Saccharomyces cerevisiae S288C: one gene and its partners. Changing the gene in region 2 together with the main gene of any one other region gives a genetic interaction. Each region holds a gene or a part of one and is shown on either strand. Other genes may lie near its edges. The genes, in order: NAP1, CDC11, MOT3 and VHS1.

The links.
Region 1: mutations in CDC11 (region 2) and NAP1 together harm fitness more than expected from each alone (negative genetic interaction), as found in Saccharomyces cerevisiae (3 studies listed by BioGRID).
Region 3: mutations in CDC11 (region 2) and MOT3 together harm fitness more than expected from each alone (negative genetic interaction), as found in Saccharomyces cerevisiae (3 studies listed by BioGRID).
Region 4: mutations in CDC11 (region 2) and VHS1 together harm fitness more than expected from each alone (negative genetic interaction), as found in Saccharomyces cerevisiae (3 studies listed by BioGRID).

What each region holds. Positions count from the first base shown.
Region 1 is NC_001143.9:522,442-530,370, forward strand, and holds NAP1 (histone chaperone NAP1), read right to left. Parts: upstream 4,200-7,929; coding exon 2,946-4,199; downstream 1-2,945. Other genes in the region: UIP5 (Uip5p), read left to right, coding at 1-905; YKR045C (uncharacterized protein), read right to left, coding at 977-1,528; PLN1 (Pln1p), read right to left, coding at 1,782-2,633; FMP46 (putative redox protein), read right to left, coding at 4,389-4,790; TRK2 (Trk2p), read left to right, coding at 5,374-7,929. UniProt on the Saccharomyces cerevisiae protein: Acidic protein, which assembles histones into an octamer (in vitro). Involved in the regulation of the localization and the function of the septins during mitosis. Involved in the function of B-type cyclins.
Region 2 is NC_001142.9:574,854-578,739, reverse strand, and holds CDC11 (septin CDC11), read left to right. Parts: upstream 1-2,138; coding exon 2,139-3,386; downstream 3,387-3,886. Other genes in the region: MIR1 (Mir1p), read left to right, coding at 550-1,485; HOC1 (alpha-1,6-mannosyltransferase), read right to left, coding at 3,569-3,886. UniProt on the Saccharomyces cerevisiae protein: Septins are GTPases involved in cytokinesis that assemble early in the cell cycle as a patch at the incipient bud site and form a ring approximate 15 minutes before bud emergence, which transforms into an hour-glass shaped collar of cortical filaments that spans both sides of the mother-bud neck.
Region 3 is NC_001145.3:407,643-411,439, forward strand, and holds MOT3 (Mot3p), read left to right. Parts: upstream 1-1,511; coding exon 1,512-2,984; downstream 2,985-3,797. Other genes in the region: NAT4 (N-terminal L-serine N(alpha)-acetyltransferase NatD), read left to right, coding at 67-924; TVP18 (Tvp18p), read right to left, coding at 3,120-3,623. UniProt on the Saccharomyces cerevisiae protein: Transcription factor that affects the expression of a large set of genes. Recognizes and binds to the consensus sequence 5'-[CAT]AGG[TC]A-3' in the promoter region. Plays a major role in the repression of a specific subset of hypoxic genes (e.g.
Region 4 is NC_001136.10:951,814-960,219, forward strand, and holds VHS1 (putative serine/threonine protein kinase VHS1), read left to right. Parts: upstream 1-4,199; coding exon 4,200-5,585; downstream 5,586-8,406. Other genes in the region: PEX5 (Pex5p), read left to right, coding at 1-588; MNN10 (alpha-1,6-mannosyltransferase), read left to right, coding at 987-2,168; TRAPP subunit TRS23, read left to right, coding at 2,475-3,134; YDR246W-A (uncharacterized protein), read left to right, coding at 3,320-3,520; YDR248C (gluconokinase), read right to left, coding at 5,945-6,526; YDR249C (uncharacterized protein), read right to left, coding at 6,868-7,989. UniProt on the Saccharomyces cerevisiae protein: Probable serine/threonine protein kinase involved in the G1-S transition.

The DNA of each region.
Region 1 (7,929 bases), on a different chromosome or scaffold from region 2:
ATGGGTTTCTCACACAGAATTTACAGTCGTCGTATGCGAAAAAGCAATACATGATGAATTCTCAGGGCGTCATAGCCGATAATACAGATCTGATGGGCTTCCCGAAAAATCTGCCTGGCCTATTTATTGTCTTGGATACGTATCGCAACCAAGGCCACGACCATAAGGAGGTACCCTTTATGGATGTGTTTATAAATGTGGCCCCAGAAAGCGATTGGTACGATATAAATAGTGATGGTGAACTCAGTACATCGCTGCGGCTTAATTCAAGAGGCCACATAAAACTCAAGAAAAATGCCCTGTGGAATCGAGTCACGAAACTAAGAATAATATATTTGGAAAGTATAAGCTTCCTGAAGATCGACGTGCAGTACGCAAAAGAGGGAAACTACTGGATTGAGTTATTTCAAACAACCGAAAATCTGTACTTGCCGAAAAACATGCACACGGGGCAAAGATACATTGGCTGTAGCGCATTAAATGGCCAATTAACGGAGACAGTGGAGCTGCTGGACGTATCCACTAGCGAATTCCATTGGAACGACATGGATGCGTCCATTGAGGACACCTATGATTACGCAAAGGAAGCTGAGCTATTCCTGGAGCAGGAATTTGGCGAGGTCCTTGACAGGGAACCCGATGAGTTCACCAAATGGAAAATGATCAAAGCTCAACCAAACATCAAGACTGGGTCACAGTCAGCTGAACAGAAAACTTCAAACAATCCTCACTCTCGGTTGTTCAAGGTCGTGCTGACCATATGGCATTATAGCGAGATTTTGCTATTGATCATGGGCATTTATCTTTTTTCTGCTTGCATAAGAGTTTTCCAAAGAAGGTTCAAAAAAATTAGATCCAGAAGAAAAAGGGCAGGCTCGCATTCTGTGGGGCTATTGCCCATGTAGCATTGCATAGGCACGCACATACATACATACACAAATAATACAATATAGGACGTTCATCTTAGGTAGCCAATTCACGGTCTTCTTGTGGTAGTGTTACTTGCGTTCGACGGCGGGAGGGTTCTTGATCGATCCAATATACTCTGTGGTGGGATGGCCAGAACGCTAGAATTCGTCTCAAACGTCCTGTTAGAGAATATTGTGGGCCTCGTAGACTGTATTGAATGAATGTCCGAGAAAGTAGACGACTTCACTGACGAGGAACAAAACGATACTAGCGGAATAACACTTGCGTTGTCGTTTTGTTGTTGCTGCTGTTGCTGCTGCTGCTGTCTTACTTTGCCTGTTGGTGGTTCATCCCATGCCACTCGACGGTCTCCTTCGTCATCGGATTCGCTCGAATGCAACGAATTTCGATCAACCAATGGTCGCAACGACGAACTGATGGTTGTTCCATCCGGATCCAACTCAGCACGCTTAACTCTTGTGGGGCCAGCCCTAGTGCCGCGTCTTGGTTTACTGCTCGAGACCGATGCGTTAGTTGTGGTAGTGGTGTTTATTATTTTTTTAACCCACACTGAAAGTTTGTTTCTTCTTCCCTGGGATGTATGATGACTGTTTGACATGCTAGGACTTTCCCTTGGCACCATGTATATTCACTTTTATTGTCTCTTGATCGAGCTATAACCAAATTTTTTTTTTTTTTTTTTTTTTTCGTTTTTATAATTTTTTCTTTGGTATTCAATTGTATATAGTGCTCAAACAGCAACGTACATAATAGCTAGCAAACAATAGATGAAATAATAGAATAATAACAAATAACTATATAAGAGTGGCAGGAAAAAAAATCAGGCGCACGATTAGCGCAAAACCAAATTACTAATTGGTCGACACAGCCGCGGGCTTAGAATTGGTTTGGTCTTCTCTTGAGGCCTTTAGCTTCTCAATGGTGGCATTGCCCAAGTCCAACCCGGTGGATACAATGGCTTTAGGGACGCTTTCAGATTTACTTAGATTGTTTTCATAGACAGTGGTGAAGCGTTGGTAGGTTTCGTTAAGCTTAGTCTTTGTTGGGTCGATGTACACAGACTGCAACTTGTCAGTTGTGGGCTTCACTATGGCGTCGTACTTTTCTTTAGCCAGGTCCTTGGTTGGGTCGATATAGTTCGACTTGACCTTGGACTGGATCTCCTGCGACATACCTCTGGTCGTTGAAGACAACTCTGCCACGTGGGGCAAAGAAGAAGCATCAGTGACCTTGTTCTCCTCACCGGAAGAGCCGATCTCCTTCGATGCGGTAGAACCTTGCAAGTGCAATGGCTTGATCAGGAACTCCCTCAACAGAGTATTAGAAATGTTGGCGACGTAGTCGACGAAGAACCACACCAGCCAGATCCCTGGCGTGTTGGAATGTGATTTCCAATTGTACAGCAAGCCGTCGACACCCTCCTTGAACACCAAGAGGTTAACTAACTCGTCCAACTTGAAGGCCCCTTCCTTCCCAGCAGCAACAACTTGCTTCACCAGACGAGGAGAGCTGGACGATTCGGAAACCCACTGGTTCACAGATCCCAAAACAACGAGGTTGAAGGAAATCAATCTCTCCACAGGTGGCAGAGATTCCGCATATTTAATAAACTTGGATAAAGCTGGGTATCTTTGCAGATGCGACCAGGTTGCTTGTGGCAATTCCACAGATGGTTTAGAAGAAGAAATAGATGATTCAGACATAATTACGCTACGGTTCTGGAGAGTGAGTGATGGTTAATGATTACCGATACATTCCGTTATCTTTCCTTTTATAACCCTTGCTGCTATATTATTAAATCCGAAAGAATACGATCATCCCCCACGGCGGAGAAAATCTAGGCTATTATTATCATTATTATTATTATTATTGTCGTCTTAGTTACATGCGCTTTAACATATATTTCAGCTTACACACTTACATGTATATACATATATATATCTATATATGTATGTATACATATGTATATAAATATATGAATACGGTTATGACCACTCTTGCGAAGTGCGTTGGGATTATGACTGCTTGCATTCAGGAGCCTGTTCCGGCCTGCCAGCAAAATCGTCTTGCTCTTCGGCAGATTCCCCGTCGTCATCCTCCAAGCCGTGATCATCATCTTCTTCTTCGTCTTCGTCCTCGTCCGCTTCTTCTTCGTCCTCCTCGAACTCGAATTCCAAGGCTGCGCCGGTAAACCAGTCCACGGCTCTAGGAATTAGCTTGTCCTTAAGTTGTTCCCCGATGGAGTAGTCTAAAGCTAGACGTTCCTCGAGGTCTTCCTCCAACTCCTCGTCTTGGTCTTCGTTTTGGATCTTGGGAGGGTCGAAGAAGTTGAAAAAGGATTCTATGGGAGTGATCTTCTCGATGGTCCTCACCTGCTTGGTGGTCTTGTTTCTCTGCTTGCGCATTTCTAGGTCCACAGTGACGTTGTGGGCGTTGTCCTTCCAACTGATCTCGCAGCCTTCTGCGTGGTCGTAGATAAAGTCCCCGGAGTAACCGAGCTCCTTCTGGTAGAAGTAGGTCTTGCACAGAATGTCGTTGGTGAAGAATGGGTTGGCGGAAGAATCAAATCTGAACAACAGCTTGAAACCGGGTCTACCATCCGTCAAGTATTCCAGACCAATATCTTGCAGGTACTCCAGAACTTCCGCATCGCGGTCAGTGATCGTGTCGCAAACGATGGGCAAGTTCTCTAATGCGGTTAGCCAGAATGAGGGAATTCCCTTCACCTGTTCCTCCTCGGAATCATTTTGGGCCTTCTCTTCTTCGTCCACCAACAACTCCGTCTCATTGAGTGACTCCACAATCTCTTGGCCCTTTGCGATCTGTTCCGGCTTGGGTTGCTCTTGTCCTGAAATGATCCTGGACCGCTGCTCCCAAATGGGCTTGTACTTCTGCAGAAACTTGTTCTCTAGCTCAAACATCTCCACCTGAAATTCCTTTTCAACTTCGAATAGCTCGCTTTGTAAAGTCTTCAAGCTCAGCAGCTTTTCCTTAACGTTCTTGGGAAGACCCCCCACATACCCGCTGTCCTGGCCCACCAGCGAGCCAAGTCTGTCCTGGATGGACTGTAACAACAGGGGTTGGTTAGCCAAGATGTCCTCCTCGTTGATGGTGCCGATCTTGTCATCCTGCTCCTGTGCCTGGGCCCTAACTGGGTTGCCGTTTTTCAAATAGCTCGGATTCAGAACCGATGCTGGGGTATTGTGAGGCGTAGGGGCGTTGTCGATTTGCATCGACGACTTGGGTTTCGTTCTGATAGGGTCTGACATGATCTTGCGCTTTGCTCTTGGTCCCACTGGGCTCACTAAATCCTCCTAATCTACCATCAAACTGCCATTTTTGATCCCAAACGCTGCTATTTAAAAGGAAAAATTTTCCCAATTACGCGGGTAATACAAAAAAGATATAGCCCATTGTTATAAAAATATGTATGTGTTCAATATAGTGGTATATAGGTGTTATTTGCGCTGAATGATGTACTTGTCAATGTCTGCGGGCTCATTTCCCACCAACTTGTTTTCCCAGTCGACCCAAAGCGCCTCCTTTGGATTCCAAAGTCCCCTCTGGACACACTTCTGCAGGTCCATCCCGAACGTCGGGTCTGTGTGCTTGTATTTGAGCACTGAATCCAGCTTTGGAATCTGCCTTTGCAACGAAACTGGGCCTTGCGGGCACGAAGTTCTCATGTATTGCAGCTGGTCCCACGTGGGAAAGCGGTTGGCGATTTCCACGTCGAATCGATGAGAGACGTCTCCCTTCAGCAACTGCAGGCATTTCTGCGACTTGATATTGGACGCGATGTCATTGGTAAACAACGAGATGGTACGTGGCTGTCTCTGCAATGTTTTCCAAAACGACATTTATTGCGTTTGCGTTTGCGATCTCCCGGTCTGTTATTTTCATTTGCACTTTTCTTAACGTTCTCTTTTGGTTTTATATGCCCCTTTCCAAGCTGGGTGGATACCCCGTCCATTGAGTGCCCGTGCCCAATCAAGCTAAAGCCAGACTAAAAAGAGGAAGAGTTCAAGAACCATCAATGCCTCCAGCACAATTTCACAACAGCTTGACACTTTGGCAACGGTTATATCAGAGCATAGCGACGGGATTAGAGAGATGCAAGACGACGGAAGAAAGAAGGGAGTGCCCGGCATGCGCTGAAAGCGCCCTGTAGTACAAGCGTACCGCCGTTGAATAGGCCATGGTACATCACACGATGATTGATAATTTGATGCAAGCTGCCATGCTCAGATGGTTGTTTCCCGTTTCTCTCTTTCACTTTTGATCTCCTGCGAAGAATAGGATGAGATGTGAATTTTCGTTTCTAATCCCCTCGGCCGTGCGGCTGAAAAAGAGAAATGATATTGGAATAACTAGGTTTCAGATGATGAGAAAAGAGGCTATTTTGTACTATTCACCGACGATAAGAGGCTGTAAGAACCACTCATGCCAACAGCTAAGAGGACGTCATCCAGGGCTTCGTTGGCACTGCCCTTCCAGTTACGGTTGGTGCACAAGAAATCATGGGGCCATCGGCTAAGAGACTTCATTTCCGGGTTCTTAAAATCATGCAGACCCATTGCTAAATACGTTTTCCCCAACTTCATCGTGGTGCACTATATCTACCTGATCACGCTGTCGATTATCGGGTCCATTCTGTTATATCCGTGCAAGAACACGGCGTTCATCGATGTGCTATTTCTGGCTGCTGGAGCGTCTACACAGGGCGGGCTGGCCACCAAGAGCACTAACGATTTCAACCTGTACCAGCAGATAGTGGTGTACGTCATTACATTGCTGTCCACGCCTATACTTATTCATGGGTTTTTGGCCTTTGTCAGGCTGTATTGGTTTGAAAGGTACTTCGACAACATTAGGGATATCTCCAAACAGAATTTTAAACTAAGAAGGACCATGACGTTGCAACAAAGGGAACTATCGGGCAGCAGTGGCAATGCCGCTCGAAGTAGGAGTTTCAAGGACAACCTGTTCCGTGGGAAGTTTGTTTCCAGAGAAGACCCACGACAATCCGCTTCAGATGTGCCGATGGACTCTCCTGACACGTCCGCATTGTCCTCAATCTCACCGTTGAATGTTTCCTCCTCTAAGGAGGAATCCAGTGACACGCAAAGCTCGCCTCCAAACTTCTCAAGTAAGCGCCAACCCTCAGACGTTGACCCAAGAGACATTTACAAATCGATAATGATGCTACAAAAACAACAAGAGAAGAGCAACGCAAACTCCACGGATTCTTTTTCGAGCGAGACCAATGGACCCGCTTTCATTGTGCAGGAACGTCATGAGAGAAGAGCCCCCCACTGCTCACTGAAACGCCATTCTGTCCTGCCATCTTCTCAGGAATTGAACAAGCTAGCCCAGACGAAAAGTTTCCAGAAATTGCTTGGCTTGCGGAGAGATGAAGGTGACCATGACTACTTTGACGGTGCTCCTCACAAATATATGGTCACCAAGAAGAAAAAAATATCTAGAACGCAATCATGTAACATCCCAACGTATACTGCTTCACCGAGTCCTAAAACCTCAGGCCAAGTAGTTGAAAATCATAGAAACTTGGCCAAGTCGGCGCCTTCATCTTTTGTTGATGAGGAGATGAGCTTTTCACCGCAAGAGTCTTTGAATTTACAGTTCCAAGCGCACCCGCCCAAACCAAAACGACGTGAAGGTGATATAGGCCACCCCTTCACCAGAACAATGAGCACCAACTATCTATCGTGGCAGCCAACCTTTGGCAGAAACTCCGTCTTCATTGGACTCACAAAGCAACAAAAGGAGGAACTCGGCGGTGTCGAATATCGTGCTTTGAGATTGCTGTGCTGCATTCTCATGGTATACTACATCGGATTCAACATTTTGGCGTTTGTGACCATCGTTCCATGGGCCTGTACGAGGCACCACTACTCAGAGATTATTAGACGAAATGGAGTTTCTCCAACCTGGTGGGGGTTTTTCACTGCAATGAGTGCATTCAGCAACTTGGGTCTGTCTTTGACCGCTGATTCAATGGTTTCCTTTGATACTGCGCCGTATCCGCTGATTTTCATGATGTTCTTCATCATCATAGGCAATACAGGCTTCCCAATTATGTTACGATTTATCATTTGGATCATGTTCAAGACCTCGAGAGACCTATCTCAGTTTAAGGAAAGTCTTGGGTTTCTCTTGGATCATCCGCGCAGGTGTTTTACGTTGCTGTTCCCCAGCGGCCCCACATGGTGGCTGTTTACAACTTTAGTCGTCTTAAACGCTACGGATTGGATTCTTTTCATAATTCTGGATTTCAACTCCGCTGTAGTAAGGCAGGTTGCTAAAGGTTATCGAGCTCTCATGGGCCTCTTCCAGTCTGTATGCACAAGAACTGCTGGATTCAACGTTGTTGACTTAAGTAAATTACACCCGTCCATTCAGGTGTCTTATATGCTAATGATGTACGTTTCGGTCCTGCCGCTGGCGATTTCCATTAGAAGAACGAATGTTTATGAGGAGCAATCGTTGGGACTATACGATAGTGGACAAGATGACGAAAATATCACCCACGAAGACGATATAAAGGAAACAGACCATGATGGCGAATCCGAAGAGCGAGACACTGTATCTACAAAGTCCAAGCCGAAGAAACAGTCCCCAAAATCGTTTGTTGGTGCTCATTTGAGGAGGCAACTCTCTTTTGATTTATGGTACCTATTCCTTGGATTATTTATAATATGCATATGCGAGGGCAGAAAAATCGAAGACGTTAATAAACCTGATTTCAATGTCTTTGCTATATTGTTTGAAGTTGTTAGCGCTTATGGTACAGTGGGTTTGTCATTGGGTTACCCAAACACCAACACATCACTATCTGCCCAGTTCACCGTATTATCGAAGCTAGTCATAATTGCCATGCTAATAAGAGGAAGAAATAGAGGTTTACCATACACTTTGGATCGTGCCATCATGCTGCCAAGTGACAAACTGGAACAAATTGATCGTTTACAAGATATG
Region 2 (3,886 bases):
AGTGACAGCGTCAGCCCATAGAGAAAAAAAATAAAAAAAGGCCGCTACCGATATGTTTTCATTACGACAATTAAGCAGCACAAGTGTCTGGCGCAATGCCTGACTACTGGGAAAAGTCGAAGCATTTGCACGGCGTCCATTACGATGGTTAAGGCAGTTTACGACGAATTGCGGAGTCAAGTTTTAATATTTATAGATAGCCCTGTCACCAGTATCGGGTGTTGTTTCTACCCAAGCGCCTGCCAGCCTCAAACAATACAACAGGTATTGTTTTTGGACAGCGGAATGCTGCGATGCAACAGTATCGCAGCATGGTACTGCTTTCCTCTAGTCTTTTGTCGAATGTGAGCAAGCAGCAGCTGAGACTCTGCCCAACCATCGTTAGCCAATCAGCGTCGAGAACGGGTCCCATGCCCGGCCGCGGCCCGTTTCGAGAAGATTTTTAAGTGCGATCCATCCTCCCGATCTTTTTATCTACAAGAACCATCGCAAAGAACAGAGTGATCTGCAAGAAGAAGAACTACAAAGATCAAAAAGTCTCATCTCACCATGTCTGTGTCTGCTGCTCCTGCTATTCCACAGTACTCTGTCTCTGACTACATGAAATTCGCCCTAGCCGGCGCCATAGGGTGCGGGTCGACTCACTCCAGTATGGTCCCGATCGATGTCGTTAAGACGAGAATCCAACTGGAACCTACCGTGTACAACAAGGGTATGGTCGGCTCTTTCAAGCAAATCATCGCCGGAGAAGGTGCTGGTGCGTTGTTGACCGGGTTTGGTCCTACTTTGTTGGGTTACTCTATCCAAGGTGCCTTCAAGTTCGGTGGTTACGAAGTGTTCAAGAAGTTCTTCATTGACAACTTGGGTTACGATACCGCCTCTCGCTACAAGAACTCTGTTTACATGGGTTCTGCTGCCATGGCCGAATTCTTGGCAGACATTGCCTTGTGTCCCCTAGAAGCCACTAGAATCAGATTGGTCTCCCAACCACAGTTCGCTAATGGACTCGTCGGAGGGTTTTCCAGAATTTTGAAAGAAGAAGGTATCGGCTCTTTCTACAGTGGGTTCACTCCAATTTTGTTCAAGCAAATTCCTTACAACATTGCTAAATTCTTGGTCTTTGAACGTGCCTCCGAGTTCTACTACGGGTTCGCCGGTCCAAAAGAAAAATTGTCCTCTACTTCCACTACTTTGTTGAATTTGCTTTCCGGTTTGACTGCTGGTTTGGCCGCTGCCATTGTTTCCCAGCCAGCAGACACTCTGTTGTCCAAGGTCAACAAGACTAAGAAGGCTCCTGGCCAATCCACAGTCGGTTTGTTGGCTCAGTTGGCCAAACAGTTAGGATTTTTCGGTTCCTTTGCTGGGTTGCCTACTCGTTTGGTCATGGTTGGTACCTTGACCTCCTTGCAATTTGGTATTTATGGTTCTTTAAAGAGCACTTTGGGTTGCCCACCAACCATTGAAATTGGTGGTGGTGGTCATTAGAAATGGTCTTGATTGATACATGCATATATATTCTCTCCTCATCACCACCGGAGCCCCTTTTTTTTTTCATATTCTAAGAAAGAGTCAACAAAGGAAAGAAATAAATAAATCTGTTTAAATGTACTCTATTCAATCACTAGTATTCTTATTCCATGTATTTACTGACTTTGCAAAAGTCCAAATATCTGTAAATTAACATGCTATTATAAATATATATATATATATATATTTGAATTTTCTATTTTTTCATCTACAAAAGCAGGTTATAGCTCCGTTAAACCCTTTGCTCATTGAATTGTCCTTCACGGTTTTTTGGTGGAAAACACAACATGGAACATAACATTTAAACATCGTTCTCAATCCATTTCATCGCAGTAACATATTTGGTCGGGCACATACGGACACGTATATGTTATACAGATAAATATAGCTTAAATATGGCTATATTTACACAACACAATGCTCGTGGGTCGTTACCCGACCATGCAGGATCGCCAGTATTCTTTATTTTTCCGCCTTCTAACATAAAGAAAAATAAACAAAAAAGTATTTGATCGAAAAGTAAAATAGGTAGACACCACGTATTGGCGACCCGATCTGGAGCCGTTTAGAAAGTCAATCATCACAAGGCCTAAAGTTGCTAACCACCAGCCATGTCCGGAATAATTGACGCATCTTCTGCATTAAGAAAAAGAAAGCATTTGAAAAGAGGTATAACCTTCACTGTGATGATCGTGGGCCAGTCCGGATCTGGTAGATCGACTTTTATAAATACTTTGTGCGGTCAGCAAGTTGTAGACACTTCGACGACAATCTTGTTACCCACAGATACGTCCACAGAAATAGACTTACAATTGAGAGAGGAGACGGTCGAATTAGAAGATGATGAAGGTGTCAAGATTCAACTTAATATCATCGATACTCCGGGATTCGGTGATTCTCTCGACAATTCTCCATCTTTCGAAATCATTTCCGACTACATTCGCCACCAATATGATGAAATCTTATTGGAAGAAAGTCGTGTGAGAAGAAACCCAAGATTTAAGGACGGCAGAGTTCATTGTTGTCTTTACTTAATCAACCCAACTGGCCACGGTTTAAAAGAGATTGATGTGGAATTCATCAGACAGTTGGGATCCTTAGTTAACATCATCCCTGTGATCAGCAAATCAGATTCCTTGACAAGAGATGAACTGAAACTGAATAAAAAATTGATCATGGAGGATATCGACAGATGGAACTTGCCAATTTATAATTTCCCTTTCGATGAAGATGAAATATCAGACGAAGATTACGAAACCAATATGTACCTACGTACACTTCTACCTTTTGCTATTATTGGATCCAATGAAGTTTACGAAATGGGCGGCGATGTTGGGACAATTCGTGGCAGAAAGTATCCATGGGGCATACTGGACGTGGAAGATTCATCGATCTCTGATTTTGTTATCTTAAGGAATGCGTTATTGATCTCTCATTTACATGACTTGAAAAACTACACACATGAGATATTATATGAAAGATATAGAACCGAGGCATTATCAGGTGAATCTGTCGCGGCAGAATCCATACGTCCAAATCTGACAAAATTGAATGGTTCGTCGTCATCGTCCACCACAACAAGGAGAAACACAAATCCCTTCAAGCAAAGTAATAATATTAATAACGATGTTCTCAACCCAGCATCCGATATGCACGGGCAAAGCACTGGCGAAAATAACGAAACCTACATGACACGTGAGGAGCAAATACGGTTAGAAGAAGAGCGACTAAAGGCATTTGAGGAGAGAGTTCAGCAAGAACTGCTGTTGAAAAGACAAGAACTGTTGCAAAGAGAAAAGGAATTAAGAGAAATTGAAGCCAGGTTGGAAAAAGAGGCGAAAATCAAACAGGAAGAATGAGTCCGCTTTTGGCTTCCTCACTTATTTCTTCTTTCTCTATATATATAAAGAGTGAGTGTTGTATATAAGTAAATACATCTGGTATATTATTTTTTTTTTTTCTTCATTCTTAAAAAGTATTAATATCGATCAGCAAAAAAAAATTAACAAAAAAGTTCCTTATTATATCTGCGTAGAAGTACTTATTTCTGCTCCACCTTTGGAGTATTTTTCCAAAATTGTGATGCCAAATGAGTAATGAAATAGAATTTCTTGTGTGGATCGTCATTATCGATTTGGTTTGGACAGTTAAAGGAGAATTTTGGAAAGACCAGAACATCACTTAGCAATTTTGGTTGATTTAGGTTATGGAATAATTTCCATGTAACCTTCTCCCTGACACCACTTCTCATAAAGTCATTGAAATACGTGAAAATAGTGTCAGTCCACAACCCAGAACCCGTCCAACTCATAATATTCAGATCATTCCTTAGATTGACGTTTAGTTGGTCGTCCCTCTT
Region 3 (3,797 bases), on a different chromosome or scaffold from region 2:
TGCGCGCGCGCCATTAAAAGATTTTTTTCTTAGCTCTTTTTCTTTTTTCTTTTTCTTTCCACTGAGATGCGTTCTTCGGTATATAGTGAGAACACTTACAACTGTATACGAACATCGAAGGAGCACCTAACAGAAAGAAGGAGGGTCGCCATGGCGCCAATGTTCCAACATTTCTTAAACTTATGCGTGGAAAAATTTCCTGAATCCATCGAGCACAAGGATACAGATGGAAACGGTAACTTCACCACCGCTATTTTAGAAAGGGAGATTATCTACATCCCCGAAGATGACACTGACAGTATTGACAGCGTTGACAGCCTCAAGTGTATAAACTACAAGCTGCACAAATCTCGCGGCGACCAAGTGCTGGACGCCTGTGTGCAATTGATAGACAAGCACCTGGGCGCCAAGTATCGCCGGGCCTCGCGCATTATGTACGGCAACAGGAAACCATGGAAGGCAAACAAACTCGCAGAGATGAAAAGCGCCGGCCTTGTGTATGTCTGTTACTGGGACAACGGCGTGCTAGGTGCATTTACTTCATTCATGCTTACAGAGGAGACGGGTCTCGTCGAAGGTGACGCTTTACACGAGGTTAGCGTGCCCGTGATATACCTTTACGAAGTACATGTAGCTAGCGCGCACCGCGGGCATGGAATCGGTCGGCGGCTACTGGAGCATGCACTGTGCGATGGCGTAGCTCGACACACCCGCCGCATGTGCGACAATTTCTTCGGTGTAGCACTCACCGTATTCAGTGATAACACTCGGGCCCGGCGACTATATGAGGCGCTTGGGTTCTACCGCGCTCCGGGATCACCCGCACCAGCATCACCCACAATTCGTCACACGCGACATGGTGGGGGACGTGTAGTCGTGCCCTGCGATCCGCTTTATTACGTATATTGCCTTCACATGCCGTGAAAGCCGACAGGGACAACGCGCGATAAAAAAAAAATTAAAAGTAAAACTACGTACGCGGCGGCGCGACTCGAATCCTTGACTCCGACTGAGGAGACCCGAACAACGCTCCCTGCTCTCCGCCTTCGGCGCCTTCCGATAACTGCGCACGGCAAGGAGTAGTGGCGATAACGGTGTTTATTGCCGGTTTTTTCGTTTTTCTTCTTGATTTTCTTCTTTTTTTTCCTCAAAAGATGTGCTGTAGCCTCCGCTGTTGTTTTTTTTTATCCTACCAAGGCGCATCATCCTGTCATGATCTGCGCTGGATAGTATTTATACTACTACTCCGTCTGGATTTACTAAACTTTGTCTCTCTTTTGATGTAAAGTTAAAGAAGAATTACGAAAAAAGAGAGAAAAAATAGAAACAAATAATAGGAATTAAGGCCTTGTAGCAATCAAAAAAAAAAAGAAAAAAAAGGAATTTTTTTTGGAAGAAAACTTGAACAAAACAATTCCTCAAGAAGGAACAGGTACAAGAAAAGATTTAACAGAAGGAAAACTAATAGGCAACAGTAGGCAAATAGTAAAGGGACATATCATATTTGAGCAATGAATGCGGACCATCACCTGCAACAGCAGCAGCAACAGCGACAACAGCATCAACAACAACAGCATCAACAACAACAGCATCAGCATCAGCATCAACAGCAGCAGCACACGATATTACAAAATGTGTCGAACACTAACAATATCGGCAGCGATTCGCTGGCGTCACAGCCTTTCAACACGACTACTGTTTCCTCTAACAAGGACGACGTTATGGTGAACTCTGGGGCAAGAGAACTTCCAATGCCCTTACATCAGCAGCAGTATATATACCCTTACTATCAGTATACAAGTAATAACAGTAACAACAATAATGTGACGGCTGGTAACAATATGTCTGCGTCGCCGATTGTCCATAACAACAGCAACAACAGCAACAACAGCAATATTTCTGCTTCTGATTACACTGTCGCAAACAACAGTACTAGCAATAATAACAATAATAATAATAATAACAACAATAATAACAATAATATTCACCCAAACCAGTTTACTGCGGCCGCAAATATGAACTCAAATGCTGCAGCGGCTGCTTATTACTCCTTCCCCACTGCGAATATGCCAATACCGCAACAGGATCAACAATATATGTTCAATCCTGCTTCATACATAAGCCATTACTATTCAGCAGTTAACAGCAATAACAATGGTAATAACGCCGCTAACAATGGCAGCAACAACTCTTCTCACTCAGCCCCAGCCCCGGCCCCCGGTCCACCCCATCACCATCACCATCATAGTAATACACACAACAACCTCAACAATGGTGGTGCTGTAAATACAAACAACGCTCCTCAGCACCATCCAACGATAATAACGGATCAATTTCAATTCCAACTACAACAAAACCCTTCTCCAAATTTGAATCTCAATATTAACCCGGCACAACCTCTGCATCTACCTCCTGGTTGGAAAATAAACACTATGCCGCAACCACGTCCTACGACAGCACCTAACCATCCCCCTGCGCCGGTGCCTTCTTCGAACCCTGTGGCCTCGAACTTGGTTCCTGCCCCATCATCAGACCATAAATATATCCATCAATGCCAATTTTGTGAGAAGTCTTTCAAAAGAAAATCATGGTTGAAAAGGCACCTATTGTCACACTCGCAACAAAGACATTTTCTATGCCCTTGGTGCTTAAGCAGGCAGAAGAGAAAAGATAATCTTTTACAGCATATGAAACTCAAGCATACAAATTATTTATTAGACGAACTCAAGAAAAACAACATCATCTTTAACTACAACAATTCTTCCTCCTCTAATAATAACAACGACAATAATAATAATAATAACAGCAATAGCGCTAGCGGCAGTGGCGGTGCCGGTGCCGCGGCGGCAGCAGCAACAGCTCCCGAAAATGAAGATGGAAACGGTTACGATACAAACATCAAGACTTTAATCAATGATGGTGTACTGAATAAGGACGACGTTAAACGTGTTTTGAATAACCTTATTGTTAGTCACAACAAATAGATAGACTTTATAGACACACAAAATATCCCTTCCCACTCATTTAACAATCAAGATAATAGTAATAATCACAAATTTAGAAAGTAATTATGCATATATACATTATATACATATAGTTTATGTATGGTACGGAACTGATTACAACATCTCTCTAACAACGGCCTCGTGAGGGAAATCGTCATCTGTAGGATTTTTGATAATGTTCGTATTCTGGAACTCTTGGTGTTTAGTATATGCTACCGCATAACTGATTGACGATATCGTTAGCCCGACAGCTACCACAATTAGACTCGTAGCCATCACTGCAATGGAAATATACTGGATTATCGCCATTGCTAGATAGAAAAGACATCTCCATCCATTTGTTTCAAATCTCTTGATGAATTCAATGAAATTATCGCTAAGGGGACAGATTTTCAACAAAAATGGTATTTCAATGAATAGGATCACTAACCCTTGGATTATACTAATGATACCAAAAGCTATCACCCCACTAACGTGGAACAGATTCGCTATCCCGAGTGCAATACACAAGATTATGTTGATATATCCAAACCATCTACCATATACGCTAAAGTTGAAACTTTTCAAATCCTTCACCATACCACCCACATTGATGAACTGTCCTAAACTTAAAGCCATTATTGAAAACTAGTATATTTTAGTTGTTATTGCTCTTCTCCTGGTGACCTACAATCCCACTTCACTAGTAGGGGAATTCTGGATCTTTACTTCGCTGATATAGCACCTTTTTTCTTTTTTTTTTTTCTTTTGCCTTTTTTACGAGCCACAGACTTTCCTCCTTTACCCTACTAT
Region 4 (8,406 bases), on a different chromosome or scaffold from region 2:
AGGATCAAGCAACAAGATGACAAATTTCAAAAAGAGAAAGGGTTTACCCATATTGATATGAACGCTCATATCACAAAGCAATTTTTGCAACTAGCAAACAATTTAAGCACAATAGATCCTGAAATACAACTATGCTTGGGTCTCTTATTTTACACGAAAGATGATTTTGACAAAACCATAGATTGCTTTGAAAGTGCGTTGAGGGTGAATCCTAATGACGAACTCATGTGGAATAGATTAGGGGCTTCATTGGCCAATTCCAATAGATCAGAGGAAGCAATCCAAGCCTATCATAGGGCACTACAACTAAAACCTTCTTTTGTTAGAGCTCGCTATAATCTGGCGGTATCATCCATGAATATAGGCTGTTTCAAAGAAGCAGCAGGCTACTTATTAAGTGTTCTAAGTATGCATGAAGTGAACACTAATAATAAAAAAGGAGACGTTGGATCTCTCTTGAATACGTACAATGATACTGTTATAGAGACTTTGAAGAGAGTTTTTATAGCGATGAATAGAGATGATTTACTTCAAGAAGTGAAGCCAGGCATGGACCTGAAAAGATTTAAAGGAGAATTTTCGTTTTGATATGGTTCTCCGCAATTTTATGTTCTCGCATCACTGCCCAAATTCATTAGCATTAGCAGTACAAGCTATCCTATATATAAGGCAATAAAAAATCTTATAAATACTATCAGCAAGATTTCAACCTTGGAAAACATGCATTCAAAGGTCATAATTGCTGCTCTATTTACAGTCGTCCATAATGACATTTCTCTTTGATTATTTTCTTGTTTTTTCGCTCTTCTCAAGTGGATGTTACATAACAAACAAAACAGAAAAAATTGTTTAAATATAAAGTTTAAAAGTTATCTTTGATTCCGCACCTGAATTTTTGGATTGAAGGCCAAAGGAGGTTTATCAGGGAGAGAAAAGCTCTCTATTTATTTTTATAAGGAATAATTGTGCATGTACAACTATACAATATGTCTAGTGTACCTTATAATTCCCAACTTCCTATATCCAACCATCTAGAGTACGATGAAGATGAAAAGAAGAGCAGAGGCTCAAAACTAGGCCTGAAATATAAAATGATATACTGGAGGAAAACTTTATGCAGTTCGCTAGCGAGATGGAGAAAGCTAATACTATTAATATCTTTAGCTTTGTTTTTATTCATATGGATAAGCGATTCCACCATAAGCAGAAATCCATCTACCACAAGTTTTCAAGGCCAAAATAGTAACGATAATAAGTTGAGTAATACTGGTTCTAGCATCAACTCCAAAAGATATGTACCACCATATTCTAAGAGATCAAGATGGTCGTTTTGGAATCAAGATCCTAGGATTGTCATTATATTAGCGGCAAACGAAGGTGGTGGTGTATTGAGGTGGAAAAATGAGCAAGAATGGGCTATCGAAGGCATATCAATAGAAAATAAGAAGGCCTATGCGAAGAGACATGGATATGCGTTGACTATCAAGGATTTGACAACGTCCAAAAGATACTCTCACGAATACAGAGAGGGTTGGCAAAAAGTAGATATATTGAGACAGACGTTCAGGGAGTTTCCTAATGCAGAATGGTTCTGGTGGTTGGACCTGGATACTATGATAATGGAGCCTTCTAAATCATTAGAAGAACATATTTTCGACAGATTGGAAACTCTGGCTGACAGAGAATTGAAAAGTTTTAATCCCCTAAACCTAAGAGACGACATACCCTATGTCGATTATTCAGAGGAAATGGAGTTTCTAATAACACAAGATTGTGGAGGCTTCAATTTGGGCTCATTTCTGATAAAAAATAGCGAATGGTCTAAGCTGCTTCTAGATATGTGGTGGGACCCCGTTCTGTATGAACAAAAACATATGGTTTGGGAACATAGAGAACAAGATGCGTTAGAGGCATTATATGAAAACGAACCGTGGATTCGTTCGAGAATAGGATTTTTGCCCTTAAGAACGATCAATGCATTCCCACCGGGAGCATGCTCTGAATACAGTGGTGACTCAAGATACTTTTACAGTGAGAAAGACCATGATTTTGTTGTGAATATGGCCGGATGCAATTTTGGCAGAGATTGCTGGGGCGAGATGCAGTACTACACCACTTTAATGGAAAAACTGAATAGGAAATGGTACACGAGATTTTTCTTCCCATAAAATGGAAGTTATCAATATTGTAAAGAGAAGCATTTACAAGCTTTTATTTTTCTTTTTAATTTCCACTACTGGTTCTGCTTTAAAATGTTGTTTTATAATTTATGTACATTTAGGCCTATAGAAGATTCTTTCAATAATATGCTACACATTCTTTTATTTTTCCATCATATGTTGGAGTTTATGCCTCCTCGGCAGGAGTTGGGCGGTGCGAAGAGAAGAAAAAGAGTGAAACTAAAAAAAGGAATCTGCCTTTGCATAAGTTCAAAAGTGCAATTTTAGTGTTGGATTTAAACGGGAAAAATTGAAATGGCCATCGAAACAATACTTGTAATAAACAAATCAGGCGGACTAATCTATCAGCGGAATTTTACCAACGACGAACAGAAATTGAACAGCAATGAATACTTAATTCTTGCTAGTACACTGCACGGTGTATTCGCCATCGCGAGCCAGCTGACTCCGAAGGCATTACAGCTAACTCAACAAACGAACATCGAAAATACCATCCCATATATACCTTACGTGGGCATGTCCAGCAATAGGAGCGATACAAGAAATGGAGGTGGCAATAACAACAAACACACTAATAATGAAAAACTGGGCAGTTTTAAAGGAGATGATTTTTTCAAAGAACCATTTACGAACTGGAACAAGAGCGGATTGAGACAACTATGCACGGATCAGTTCACGATGTTCATATATCAGACCCTAACCGGCCTGAAGTTTGTCGCTATCAGCTCCAGCGTCATGCCCCAGAGACAGCCAACTATAGCCACCACCGACAAGCCTGACCGACCCAAGAGTACATCCAATTTGGCCATCCAAATAGCCGACAACTTCCTAAGGAAGGTTTACTGTTTGTATAGTGACTACGTCATGAAAGACCCATCTTACTCAATGGAAATGCCTATAAGATCTAACCTGTTCGACGAAAAAGTCAAAAAAATGGTAGAAAACCTACAATAGACGCACGCGCCATCGGAAGATAAACGCATTCACACCAAGAAAATAAATACTACGTACTTCTAGAACTAAGAAGAAGTTGCCGCTCTCCGTCTCCTCCTTCATAAATAGGGATAGCTTTTACTACTACGTACGAAAAAAGACCACACTGCGACGGATCCTCTGCATCCCAACACCAGCGATAGAAAATGCGCCGCCTATATCGTCATCTTGCTTCCTTTTTCTTACTCCCTTCCTGCCCTGGAAACACCATACAATCCATCACATCATATCCTGCCAATGCACTATTACGCAGCTTTCGGCACGTGAGTACGGAAACACCAGTTCGGAACCGGGTACACAATAGGGATAGTCAAAGCTGTCCATTTTTTCCGCTGATGGATGACTGATACCAAAGTGTAACCCAAAAGGGGTAGTCGATCCTACTTTTACCAGTTACGTTAAAGGGACCAAAACGTGGGGAAGGGATGCCGCCACCACCACCGCCACTACCCCCGCCAACATGGCCTAACTTAGCAGTCCTCGCTTGTGTATCTAGGTCCGCGTCCGCTAATTCGCGCGGCTTGCCACTTAACCCCGTCCAGTTAATTTGCCAAGCAGCGGCCGCACGTTGGAACGTTTTCGCCGATTTATTTATTATTATTTATACATGTTGACGTTGGTGCCCTTTTGTTTATACTGGAGCCTAAAACGTACCTCAATTAAATTTAGTGTGCCATATTATAGTGCTATTAAACCTTTATTTTTATTTTTAATTTTAAAACTGCTTTGGTTCTCTCCCTCCCTTACCGTTGCCACCTTAAGACTCACTGATATTTATTCATACTTACAAGTGCTATAAGAAAAGACTTGATTTATTAGCTTTACAGCGTTTTTACATTTGTGTCACTGCTATTATATTTTTGTTTACCTCTTTTTGTTGCTGGTGTTGGCGCTACCATTGTTTTTTTGTTTTATGAGTTACGTTTACAAAAGTTCTTAACATTTACTGTACGATAATATACTAAGGTGAAATACTAAAGTAAAATAAAATAAGAGAAAGAAAAAAAAAAAAAAAAGAAAAAAGTAATGATGATGTTCCATAATTGCAGAATTAATAACTACTTAATAACTTCTCAAATTGGCGAAGGCGCGTACGGTCTGGTTTACCGTGCCTTAGATATTCGTACCGATAGACAATACGCTATCAAAGCGGTTGTTCAAAGTTACGGTGTTAGCAAGGAGGCTGATATGGGCAATGATAAAATACACAAAAATAGCGTGAAATTGCAAAAGAAGCTCGCTAAACTGTTCAAGGAATCGAAAAACGTTGTCAGGGTGCCCTCTATAGATCTAGAATCAATTGAGAATATGTCAGAAGAAGATTTTAAAAAGCTGCCCCATTATAAAGAGATTTCGCTACACCTAAGAGTCCACCATCATAAGAACATTGTCACCATACATGAGGTGCTACAATCTGCAGTCTGCACGTTCATTGTCATGGATTATTACCCAACAGACCTATTCACGTCTATTGTAGATAACAGACATTTTGTCACTAATGGACTGCTAGTAAAAAAGGTTTTTCTACAGATCTGTTCTGCTCTTAATTATTGCCATGAGCACGGCATCTACCACTGTGACATCAAGCCTGAAAACTTGCTACTGGATACAGAAGATAACGTTTTCCTATGCGATTTTGGTCTATCCACTACTTCCACATATATAAAGCCAAATGTTTGCATTGGTAGCTCGTATTATATGCCCCCTGAAAGAATCTCATTTGATGGGAGAGTTTCCAGCTCTAAAAGTGGGGGACATAAGTTGGGTAAGGTTTGTCCCTCATGTAATGGCGATTTGTGGTCATTAGGTATCATCCTTATCAATTTGACATGCATCAGAAATCCCTGGCTGAAGGCTGACAAAACCGAGGATAATACCTACTATTATTTCACTAAGGATCCCAATATACTAAAGCAAATCCTACCGCTTTCCGATGACTTTTACTCATTATTATCTAAGATTTTACAAGTGAATCCGAAGAATAGAATGAGCTTGCAAGAGTTGATGAAAGAAGTTAGTTCTATTACAAGCTTCACCAATGAAGGCCCGTTATCAAAAGTGCCGCCTCTTTCCAAGTCTGTTTATGAAAAGTTCGTTAGCCCCGTCGATAACACGAATGAGAATTTGTCTCCAAAATCCTACGTGTACATGCACGATAGTAAAGCTGCCAAGAATTTATCTTATACATCTTCAAGTGAGGAAGAAGATGGAATCAAAGAAGGGATAGACGATGATAATGGCAGTCGCAGTGGCAGTTTCGGAACGCTAGACACAGACACTGGATTGCATTCTTCGTTCACAAGCACTTCTTGCGAGTCCGATAACGAATGTTCTAAGATTTCCAACAAATTTTCCTTGTTCGAAAAAAAATTCAACGAACTTCGCATGAGTTCCTCTTCTTTAACTAACTAACCCCCTCCTTTTTGGCACAAAAGTGTACTACACATCTGTTTTAAGCCCACAATTGATAGACCTTCTCTTGATGATCATCTGTTTTCCCGAAAATATTACTTGCCAAAGCAAGTTGTAGTTATATTCACACTTCCGTTATGACCCCCTCATCCGTTTAATGTTATTTGTTTTTATGGTATTCCCTTTATTCATTTTTTTTCTTGCTTTTTTTTGTTGATCCCTGTAACCCCTTTTTTTTTTTTGGAAGTTGCTATTATTATTCATTCACATTTGTTCTGTCTTTGTTAATTTTCCAGGTCACCGTATTTAATTTCTATATAACTGTTTCTAATATTTACTTCGTTTTATCCAAGCGTTATTTACTCAATATTCAAAACTTTACTTTTTACCACCTGTATAACATCTTTTTCAATTTGATAAAACGTTTTGAAATCTAAGGGAACAATGTCACAGTCAGTTTCGTCGTTGATGTCTGGTAACTCCAGATCCCTGAATTGAGACTCCATCATATCAGCTTTCATGAAATGACCCTTCCTTGTTTTGAGCCTTTTCAGAACTTCTATTTTACTTGCATACAAAAAGATAAAATGGAACTCCGATTCAGGGCATGTGTGCCTAATCAAATCTCTGTATTTCTTCTTCAAGCTCGAGCAAGCAACAATTGACAAATGCTCCTTAGTGCTTGCTGCAGCTTTTGTAGATTCTACGGCAACTTTTTTCAACCAGTCCCAACGGTCGTCGTCATTTAATGGAATCCCTCTTGTCATCTTTTCTACGTTGGCAGGCGGGTGTAAATCATCACCTTCGATGAATTTCAAATCCGGGTATATATCTTTAAATTCATGGATTAGTTCACCTGCAATGGTTGATTTTCCTGTACCTGCAGTACCTGCCAATACAATAACCTTAAATTTCCCCATAGTTTTGTGTTTCTCTGTCATCAACTGCGTTGTCCATCCATACGCTTACTGAGACACTATGAAAGCCTGTTTAGTCTTCGGAAAGCTATTTATTGCTTGCTACTTGAAAACCTTTTGATTATCGATATTTTTTAACGGGACCTTATATAATTATTGCTTGGAAACTAACGGTGTTATAATTTTTGACAAACTAATTAGCGACGTAATGAAAGCAGAAAAACCGCAAGAATATGAGAAAGGGAAAATATCAAAGAAAACAAAATATATTCCTTATATAACACCATCTTTTGTACATAAATGAATTGGCAAGCACATATTGTGCATGCATGCAAGGGGCAGAATCTTAATACTAAGTAATTTAATTATGCAAACATAACCCCGTATTGAGGCCTTCCGCCGCATTTAACGACCAAATCTATGAGTTTTAAATCAGACACCCGCCTTAACAGGTCCCATATAGTGCTATCAGATAAAAGTTCGTTTTCTGTCAATGATGGATTGTAATAATATTTCAGGATAAATTTCTCTATGAGCTGTAATCTTGATCTATTCTGCAAAAAAAACTCAAAGTTCAGACTCCCTAGTGAATCAGCATACGTGAAATATAATAAAAATATTACAGTCGTAAGGGGTTCAATAGACGCTAGTTTTTGCACTGTAGATCCAGAGACGTATAGGATTAAATCTATTGATTCAAATAGAGAAACAAAGGTAAACTTAGGGCTTAGGTCAGTTCCTTGCATATCAATACCTTGAAAAAACCATTCTATAAAAGGGGATATCACATCATATGGATTCTTCAAAGTAAAATGATTACCTAGAGACTTCACACATTCCCTACGTGTTAAAAAAATATGCATATTGTTGTAAAAGTTTTTAGGGAAGTCTTCTTTCGATGTATCTTCAGTGTTCATTGAACACAAGTCTAGCTCTTTAGATGTATCAAAATCGCCATTCTGCATATCTTGATAGTGCTTTCTGGGAAGAAAATGAGAAATATTTTTCAACAGGATAGGATGATGATCTAGTAGTAGTCTAAAAAAAGTTTCATGCTCAAATAATGTAGGGATCACAATATTTCTTGAATAAGCTTTTATATTACTTACGCCAAACTCCAGGGGATCGAAAAGATATTTTTCCCACATGATCTTCGATAATAATGAAAAAGATGGCTTCAAGCAACTATAGAAGAACCTGTTCAAGGTGACCATCGACGGTTCACCCTTTGTGAAAACGAAAATATGTTGAATAATCTCTACAGGTAAATCTTGCAAAGTTAGCTTTTGATGATGCCTAAGTTTCTTCGCAGGAAGCCTGATAGTCCTTTGATCTTCCGATATTGGCCTCTTGGATGAAACCCGGGTCTCTAAGAGATGCACATGGTGCTGCAAGTTTATCGAAGACGATGCATACCGATGCAAAGGAAGTGCATGTTTCTTTCTCTTATCATGACGGCTAGAATATCCTGTCAAAATATAACCCATGGCCACTTATTCTAAAAATACACTGCGTGAAAAAAGCACTGCTTACTTTAACAACATTAGTCCTCTTTAAATATATTTCATTACTCATCGCAAACTGAACAATTCTTGATGCTTAATTCTTACTAGCTGCAAAAAAGACAAGATGAAACGCGGTGTATGGTTGGACGATATAGTCTTATCCTAAATACACACAACATATATTGCGTAATAAAGAGATCTTCCTATCTATAGCACAATTTGAAGTTGAAAAGGCGTATCTAAAATGCTAATACTAAACAAGGCATCATGTTTTTGTCCCATTCACGTAGCACTGGCGATTTGCTTCCATATTCTTCTGTGTACAATAATAGCTTGGGTGGCTTTTTTCACAATGGGCTCTACGCGAAATTGTCGCAGCCCCCTGTTGGCCGTGCTGTG